Arabidopsis thaliana: one gene and its partner. The protein of the gene in region 1 interacts with the protein of each later gene in a pairwise test. Each region holds a gene or a part of one and is shown in the gene's direction. Other genes may lie near its edges.

Region 1 (4,121 bases):
GACTATCAATCAGAATACCGGTAAAAGCTTCACCAGACCGCAACTCAAGAATCATTGGGATTGCACCAGGAAATCGTGGAAGATCTGGTGTCAAGTGATTGGTGCTCCTGTCATGAAATGGGATGCAACTTCTCGAACATTTGGTGCTACTGATGAAGACTGGAAAAACTACTTGAAGGTATAAACGCTACTCGACTTTTTATATTAGTTGATTAAGTTTGCAGCTTAACATTGGTTCTTTGATTAACAGGAGAATCATAGAGCAGCACCATTCAGAAGGAAACAACTTCCTCACGCGGATAAACTAGCAACCATCTTCAAAGGACTTATAGAACCAGGAAAAGCCTATTTCCGTTCTTATCGCAGGAGAGTGCTTGATCATCATTCCGAATCACCACAGCTACATGACCCAACTCCATTATCAACACTTTACACAAACGAGCCAGTCTCAGGTAGTGAAGGTGGAGCTGATGAAGATGACAATGATGACGATGATGAGCAGCCTACTCCGCAGCACCGGAGATTTAACAGTGTTGGTTTTGCAGAGTCTCGGTTACAAGATGTTGAAATTGTAACTCCGGGATGCCACAGGTTAAAAACTGAGCTGATGAAGGAGAGTCCAGTGAGTGCATCGGTTAGGCAGTACGAGTATACCATTGGGGAATGCATTGAGTGTTTGGACTCCATGGAAGAGGTTGAGCAAGGTAGTGATCTTTACTTGTTTGCGTTGGATTTGTTTGTGAAGAAAGAGTACAGAGAGATTTTCTTGCTGTTGAAGAACTCAAGTTTGAGAATGTCTTGGCTGCTTAGACTTCGATCTGGTGGCCTTACCATTGCTGCCTAAGATCGTCATATTCTCCCAAACTTCTTCTGCTTATGTCTTATTATGCTAAACACTCTTGATTTATCTTTTGAACAGTGTGAGATGTTATATTATTAGGTTCCTTGAAAGATTTTATGACAGTCGAAATATTATAAGAGTTACTGGTTAACTTTTGTCGCAAGAAATTACTCTTGTCTCTATTGCAGATGAGAAATAAACTTCAAAGCATTCGTATCCTATCGTCTATGACTCTATGTAGCCTTCTCTTCTTCAAAATTAACTTAAGTTAAAAAACCTTGTACAGTTTGATTAGTTGATACAACCGATATACTTTTATTTGATTTTCTCTGTTTGCAGAAAGTAATTTAAAACTTATGTGAGCATCACAAGTAAAATGGAGAGATAGTGGGATTTAATGAGCTTTAGCTATTGAATCTGTCACACTTTCTAAAAATATTTTCCACCGACGCATAGATACTAAAACCAATCATCACTTAATTCCAGGTAAGAACTTAATCCTAAACAACCTCCTTAAGGAGACAAAATTAAGATATAAAAAGAGATAAATCGCGCCAGGTAGGGGTCGAACCTACGACCTTCTGCTTAGGAAACAGACGCTCTATCCACTGAGCTACAGGCGCTTTTGATTGTAATTATCAAAACATTATATTTATAACAAAACCATACAGTATGTCTCCGTGTGGACCAGAAAAAAGGCGATAGAACAAATTTGTCGTATTCCAAAGAATTAAATAATAGAATCAAATAGATCAATCAACTTTTTTTTTCTTTCTGAGAAAAATGAACCGCAAGAATCCGAGTGGAGTGGTGCCATTCGCTGTTCTCCAATCCAAATACGCCAAATCTTCCCAAAAATAAAGAAACCTTTCCTTTTCTTTCTCTTCACTCTGTTCCCATATCTACAGTGACTCTTCTCTCTCTGTATATTACTCTTCCTTCACTATCTCTCTCTCTTTACTGGGTCTTCTTCAGCTTCTGAGTCTTCTCCTCTCTCTCTATCTCTCAAGTGGGCTTTGCTTTGCTGTTTTTGTCTTCCTTCGACGACTCACTTTTGCAGATTCTCATAAATTCTTCAAAGCTTTGAGTCTTTTTTCAGATTCGAGGGTCGGTTTTATATATGCTTCAAATCTCTTACCCAAATCAGGTTCTTGATTCCCTCAGTATACGATTCTTCATTTTTCCTTCCCTTTTGTTTTTCTTCTTCTTTGATTCCTACTATATTATCATTAAACCTTATATATAAAAGCTTCCATTATTTCCTTATATCACAAATCTATCTTTTAAGCTTCCTCCACACATAGAGCAAGAAAATGGACTTTTTTGAGCTGTGTTTGTAGTTGAAACTTATTCTTCCCTTTTTTTGTTTTTAGGTATGGAGACTCTGCATCCATTCTCTCACCTACCTATCTCTGACCACCGGTTCGTTGTTCAAGAGATGGTGAGCTTACACAGCTCGAGTAGCGGTAGCTGGACTAAAGAAGAGAACAAGATGTTCGAACGAGCTCTTGCGATATACGCTGAAGACTCGCCTGATCGCTGGTTTAAAGTTGCTTCCATGATCCCTGGAAAGACTGTTTTTGATGTTATGAAGCAATATAGTAAGCTTGAAGAAGACGTTTTCGATATTGAAGCAGGACGTGTTCCCATTCCTGGTTATCCTGCAGCTTCTTCTCCCTTGGGGTTTGACACGGACATGTGTCGTAAACGGCCTAGTGGAGCTAGAGGATCTGATCAAGATCGAAAGAAAGGAGTCCCTTGGACAGAGGAAGAACACAGGTTAAGACACTCTTTCATCTCTACAGAATTCTTTCCATATAAGTCACTCTTCCTAGGTTCCTTGCAACGCAAGTCATCCCCTTTTTTCTTAGGGTTTTCAATGCTCTGTTTCTTGTTCCTTGCAGGAGATTCTTGTTAGGCCTTCTCAAGTACGGTAAAGGAGATTGGAGAAACATATCGAGAAACTTCGTGGTGTCAAAGACGCCAACGCAAGTGGCGAGCCACGCCCAAAAGTATTACCAGAGACAGCTCTCCGGAGCCAAGGACAAACGCAGGCCAAGTATCCATGACATCACAACCGGCAATCTTCTCAATGCCAATCTCAACCGTTCCTTTTCCGATCATAGAGATATTCTCCCTGATTTAGGGTTTATCGATAAGGATGATACGGAGGAGGGAGTAATATTTATGGGTCAGAATCTCTCTTCAGAAAATCTGTTTTCTCCATCACCAACTTCATTCGAAGCTGCCATTAACTTCGCCGGAGAAAATGTCTTCAGTGCCGGAGCTTAAGGCAACATAGAATCCCCAAACTCAGCGTTCTTAAGAATCTGAGTTTTGAAACTGTAATTAGAGAAATATAAGCAAAACCAAGTTTATTATATATGTATTGTGTGGTTTAAAAGTAAGAACTTGTTTTTACTCTGTATTTTTGTGTTTCTGTCTACTAAATACCTGTTATGTTAAAAAAAATCTGTGTTTTCTTTTCGATTAAATTATAGACTTATAGTTGTGAAAAAGAGTACTTGTGCTTTATGACAAGTTGATAACCCTAACAATTTACCACAATATATCTATTTTATGGTGTTAAATGCAAATTATAAAGATATACTGTAATAAAGACTTAAAGAGATTAAAAAAAAAAAAAAGACTCAAAGAGATCAAACACCACACAAAAATGAGAAATTTGTGAAACATGTTTTGGGTTAGATTTATTTAAGAAGATGGCTATAGTATAGTTTTAAATATTGAGTAAAGTTTTGGTGGAAGGTATGAAGAATTGATTTGAGTATAAAATAGAGGCTGAGTCTGCTTTCCACTTCTGACCAAAGAACCTCATTCTTCTCATCTATTACACCAACCTCCTGACTCATATATATATTAACGTATTTAGAATTACGTATAATGGTGTCATTTGTATAAAAAACATATATGAATGAAATGTTTATTTTATTTTTTAATCATTTGGTGCCCCAATCTAAACACTGCTCACATTTGAATTATGCAACTTGAAATAACTTTGATAAATTTATATTGAAACAACTTTGAAATATTATTTATCACAGTTCATATGCAAAGTTGGACCAAAGGCTACACTTAATCAAGCAATAGTTTTATCATAGTTCATATTCAAAGAAATCGGATTTAATAGATTTCCATATCTTATTCTATATGTATTAGATGAATCTTGATCATCAATTGTGACATATGCTACTGCAATTTGCGAGTCCTATTTCGGATAAAGAAAACAAAGTAGTTTTTCCTTTCTTGCAACTTTATG
Region 2 (5,586 bases), on another chromosome or scaffold:
ATACACCGTTACTTTAAAGTTATACAGATGAATTATCTCTGACAATTTTACACTTTTGAGATTTTCTTTAGTGGAACAAACTTTAATTATATATAGCTTCTAATTTTATTTTATTTTCTAATTTCTAAACATATTACGAAAAATTAATATGAGAGAGTGGTTTCAGCAAAATTAGCTAGGACTTACTTACATGATGAGGACTATATATATGAGAAAAAAACTGTGAATTAAGGTTGGGATTAAAGTCTTAAAGAAACCAAAAGCAGGGATAATGTAGAAATTTGGAGATGCTAAGGCCACAAGTTAATAGTTGAGACTTGATAGATATGATAACTTATTTGTTTTGTTTTTTGTTTTTTTTGTAGTTAATAACATTGTAAATCAGTAAAACCAAAATCTAGTTCCTGCCAACAATTTTGAAATTAAAATGTATGGATCACCTTAATGAGCGAAAGAGTGCATCAAGTCCAACAACAAAGTCTTTCTCTTCTTCATAACATAATGTTCGGAGTTAAATTAACTTGAATGAAACAAATCTTTAATTAATTATATTGATTTGCATTATTAGGAAACTGTTCAGATTAGCCTACCAAAAAAAAGGAAACTGTATTACTGTTAGTGGAGCAAGTATAATGTGCAGTTTATTGGGCTCATAGCATTTTAGAGCCCAAATTTATTCGTTTCTTAAGCAAAATCTTAAATGCGTATAAAATTAGTCTTTTACAAATATAGCATGTGGCCCAATATAAACGTCAGGCCTGATAATATGTTTAAGTGTCCATGACTTTTAACATGTTTCATTTGATAAGCATTTTTTACCAGAAGCTTATGTTAATTCACTTATACGGGTTGGGGATAATGAAAATTGAATTTGGACTAATAGAGCATACATCAATCGAGGAAAATTGCAACGACAAAGAAACGACGGTACATCAATTTTACCTTAGTAAAATCTTGATAAGATTTGAAGTGTGAGTTAATAACAAATTTTAAAAAACCTAACTTATCTAGTGAAAAAAAATGAAAATTATAAAAGCTGATGGCATTTAGATAGTAAACAGAAATCAAAATTGTTAAGTGATAGTAGTCTTGTTGCAAATGATAAGTCCACTGAGAACATGACATCGAGGATCGAGTCTCGCTCCTTATAAATGTTGACAAAAAAAAACAGAAATCAAAACATCATTTTGGTGTATGAATATATTTCTTGATCTATTTAGTGTATCAATAATTTCTTAAATATCAAAAAAAAAAAAAAAAACTCTTCATCGATTTTTATATGCTTGCTTCTGTTATTGGTTCATAACTATGAGTCCAATTATTTTCATAGTCGCATATAATTGTAAAAGTATTGTACGAACGGATCAGTTTATCCCACAATTATTGAGATGCTAAGATTAATTTTTGTATTAACATAAAGAAAAAATATGAATCAAATTCATATATCTTGAGATTTTGACAACGAGGATGTCACACATTGACATTATTAGAAAACAAAAAAAAAAAAAAAAAATCTTGTCTACTTGATAAAACTTTTTGGAATAAAAAAAGTGAGGTAGAAGAAAGAAAGGCATCAAATGCTTTATTATTGGGATTCGCACTATTTACTAAATTCCACGATCTGCCAACCATCTCTTTTATTTATTTACCTATTTTCTTATTTTTTTCTACTAATTTTGGTAGTAAAAAAAAAAAAATGAATATGTTCTTAGTCATATCTCTCCCTTCAATTTAGGAAGAGAATCTTTTCTAAAATTCCCCATTCCTACTTACTTTTATAGTCAAAATCCATTTTTTTCCATTTCAACTAATTGTGTTGGAAAATAATTAATATTAGATTTCAATTAAGTTTATCATCAATATGGTGAAAAGTCATAAAGTAATGTATTAATAATTTTTTCATTATTTGTCTAAAAATCCTTCATTGGCTTATAGCTTACAAGGCTGCTCTGTCTAATATACAGAGGACAAGAGAAAAAAAAAAAAAGAAAAAAAAAATTGTGATTTGGTAAACAAAATCAAATTTTGGTTTCTTTGTGAGAACTTAACTTAGGGTTTATAAAGTTCCAAGCTTTATCCATGGCGTAAGATGATTCACCTTCTCAAAGTTTGATCCTTTTTTCATATCTGATCAAAGGAGAGTTTTGGGTTTGATTTCTAATTGTTAAAGTTTTAATCTTTTTATTTGGGTTTGTGTTCGATTATGTGGATGGCTACTCAATCAAATTCTGGGTTCGATTCTTTGAGTTCTATGATGAGTCGTCACGCTATTAATTTCCAATCTAACACTTCTTCGGAGATGACTCCAATGAGTCCGTACTTGGGGATGAATATGAATATGATCAATGTTGGTTCTCCTGGTTTTCTTCAAACCGGGAATTCTTCGAATGGTTCCGATTCGGGTTCTGGTCTAAAGCTTGATACTTCCATGGTTAGTGAATGGTCAAATGAAGAACAATACATATTGGATGCTGGTCTTGAAAAGTGAGTCTTTCTTGTTTTGTGATTTCTTAACATTAATGAGGATATGAAGATAGTTTTTTGTTCTGTGGAATTTGATATGATCTGATTCTGTGTTTTTTGTAGATATAAGGATATGCCAAGTATTGATATGTATATTCAAATTGGAAACACTTTACCTGATAAAAGTATTCGAGATATTGCTTTGCGGTGTAGGTGGCTGAGGGTAAGTATCTCTCTTCACATATCTGCCTTGTTCTGACGGTTTTTGTAGCTTTCTTGTGACCATTTTTCAGTCATGTAGTTCTACGCTTATGCCATGAATGATATATGTATAGCAAAGAAAAATGATACACAGGGAACAGTTTCTACATGTTCTGATTTCATACATAGCTTCTTAAACTACAGTACACAGAATGAAATGGTTTTGCCTTAGGATGGACTTTTTGGTCTTATTGATGCCTGAGTTGTATCAATATTGAGTTCTTGAGATGAGAATAGTGAGCATAACAGTCTTTGAGTTTTGAACAAAATCTTCTCTTCTCTTATATACTGAATCATTTCTTACTTTTACCTTTTGTCTTCGTCTGTTGATGTACTGACTTTGTTTTGCATAGAGAAAGAGAAGAAAATCAGAAGAATTAAACTGTGGAAGAAGAGCAAGTTCTAGCAAGGTATATTGGAAATTCTTGCCATTTGTTCAATTTTGATGAGTGACTTTTTTGTAAGTTCGATTGAAAGATGATGCTAGGATTGAGATTGAATATCTTTTGATTAATTTAGGTTTTTGTACTAAAAGATTTATATTTCTTCAGGGCAAGCAGGTGGAATCGTCGTCTAAGTCAAGCATTCCCTCTGTTTTGCCTCATAACATGGCTTCATATCCTTTCTCAGGGCCATCTACAAGCACCAGTAAACAAATTACGTCTGAAGGTTAACATCTATCTTTATCTGAGAGATTTCCACCTGAATTTGCTAACTCCAGGTCTTTTTTTTCATTGACATGCACACATTAACATCATATTTTGTTTTCAAAAGGAGGCAATACGTTTTGATGTATGTATTATGGTGCAAATGTCGTTTAAGTATGTATTTTGTTATATAAATAAGTTCATAGGGGATTAGTGTATTTCAGCTAGACTTTTAGCTTCTTGGGACGATGCTAACATAACTACGTCTCTAAAGTAGTTTAGTCTTGGAAGAAGCCTTTACCCATAGATACTGAAATTGGTTTCTTAACTGCATTGTCCTTCTCTAGAGGTGCATTCTTGAGATTATTTATTTCATACATCTAGTAAAGGAGTATAATGACTATTGTATGTTTAAATGGTGAAATTCTATTTAAGTCCGCTCTCTGATCCTATTACCTTGTAAAGATGATCCTTTAAGCTCTCTTTCATATGAAGTTTTGTTGAAGTCACAATAATCTTTAGTCTCTTTTCTTTTCTTACTGATTCTTTCGTGGTTCTGTTTCAGATTTAAGTAGCTATGCAACAAATCTTATAGAACAGAATGTACGAGCTTTTAGTCAAATTAGAGCTAATCTCTCCTCATATAAGGTAAGTTCTAGATTACCTTGTTTAAAGGAATGCAAATGTGTTCTTGCTAAAACCGCTCCGTAATGATAATTGCAAACAGGCAGGGGATAACCTAGATCTCTTTCGTCAGGCAAGGAACAACCTTATCACCATCCAAAATGAGTAAGTTGATACTTTAAACATTTTGTGTATAAGTTTTGTGGAGCTTAGTGACCAGACGTTGTCTTGATTTGGCAGGATAAATAATATGCCTGGATTGATGAACAAGATGCCACCATTGCCAGTCACAATCAATGATGATCTCTCGGTGAGTAATACTACTTTAGTAAGTTAATAGGCTGCTCACTTTTGCATTAACAGTCCATTGTTTTAGATATCAAAATGTCCACATCACCCATTTGCTTGTTTTACCTCAGACACTACCGTAGTTCAAACCCCATATCTCTGGTTCAAGTGCTCAAAATATAGAATTATTGTGCTTCTAACTAGCTGAGTATCTTAAGACCAGTTTTTCAATGTTTTGGTTTGTAGAAATGTCTATCAAGAGCAAATAGAGCAGAAGAATAATAGCTTCCCAATATCAATGACTTTGGTTTCCTCGATTTGTACCAGGTGATGATGCCATTCAATACGATGCAAAGTGGCGGCTTCCATAGGAAGTAGAAGTCTTAGGAAATCATCTGGTTTCCCTTAGTTACCTGTAAATTATCCTAAAGAAGCTGGAGGAGGTAAAAAAAAGCTCATCAAATGTTGGGAAGTTTGTAGAAATGTGATTCTTTCGTAACACCAACGATCTTTATTGCTGCGCGGGATGTTGAAACAAGACATAATATAACGAATGTAGGGGTTCTTGGTCCTGGCTCCTAACTAAAAAACCTTCTTAACAAGTTCTATTAGATAAACTTAGTTCAATTAGTGTCTTGGAGAATTTCTAAGCGATCGATGTGTATAAAAAAAGATTCTATTGAAGAGCGTGTTGAGATTTGCATCTTTAATCTTTTGATCTTTTGGTGTGTTGTTTTGGTACCCATTTTTTCTTAGCATTAATCAATCTTTATTTTTCATAAGCCAACATTGAACGAAATAAAACAATCCGAAACCTTCGATGTTGTATATACGAAACATAAATGTTAGAAACGAGAACAAGAAGAAAGGCAAAGAATCCATAATGACAAATAATGGGACCAAAGAACAAGCATAGAGATATAGGAAACTCTACATCATCCAATTTAATCGGTTTTGAGAAGATGAAACGTGATCTCCTCTAGATGGACCATCAAAGTTCAAGCTTCTTATGGTTCGATTGTTGTAGCTGCTATTTTGTGGGTATGTAATCAAAGAAGAGTCTATGGCTTGAGGAGTTTGGTAATAGGAAGGATGAGAGAGGTTGTCACTGGAATCGAGTAACAAGAATGGAGAAGTAGAGGCAGTGGAAGCCATGGCTGTTGCTCCGACCGGAAGTGGATGGTTATGTGTTCCTTCGTAGGTTGTTATCAGTATTGACATGTCTTCTAAACACCTTTGCACCTTCACAATGTAACAAATCTCATTATCAACTATATATATATACATAGTTTCATTCCATTCA

What was found.
Region 2: the proteins of AT3G11280 (region 1) and AT1G68160 interact in a two-hybrid assay, tested with the Arabidopsis thaliana proteins (one study listed by BioGRID).

The regions. Positions count from the first base shown.
Region 1 is NC_003074.8:3,532,489-3,536,609, reverse strand, and holds AT3G11280 (Duplicated homeodomain-like superfamily protein), read left to right. Parts: upstream 1-1,615; 5' UTR 1,616-1,988; exon of another isoform or gene 1,989-2,214; 5' UTR 2,215-2,216; coding exon 2,217-2,620; intron 2,621-2,745; coding exon 2,746-3,133; 3' UTR 3,134-3,399; downstream 3,400-4,121. Other genes in the region: AT3G11290 (Myb/SANT-like DNA-binding domain protein), read left to right, coding at 1-178, 251-844.
Region 2 is NC_003070.9:25,545,243-25,550,828, reverse strand, and holds AT1G68160 (ZZ-type zinc finger protein, putative (DUF3755)), read left to right. Parts: upstream 1-1,934; 5' UTR 1,935-2,203; coding exon 2,204-2,484; intron 2,485-2,586; coding exon 2,587-2,686; intron 2,687-3,077; coding exon 3,078-3,134; intron 3,135-3,275; coding exon 3,276-3,393; intron 3,394-3,936; coding exon 3,937-4,019; intron 4,020-4,098; coding exon 4,099-4,160; intron 4,161-4,235; coding exon 4,236-4,305; intron 4,306-4,610; coding exon 4,611-4,661; 3' UTR 4,662-5,071; downstream 5,072-5,586. Other genes in the region: WRKY9 (WRKY DNA-binding protein 9), read right to left, coding at 5,214-5,525.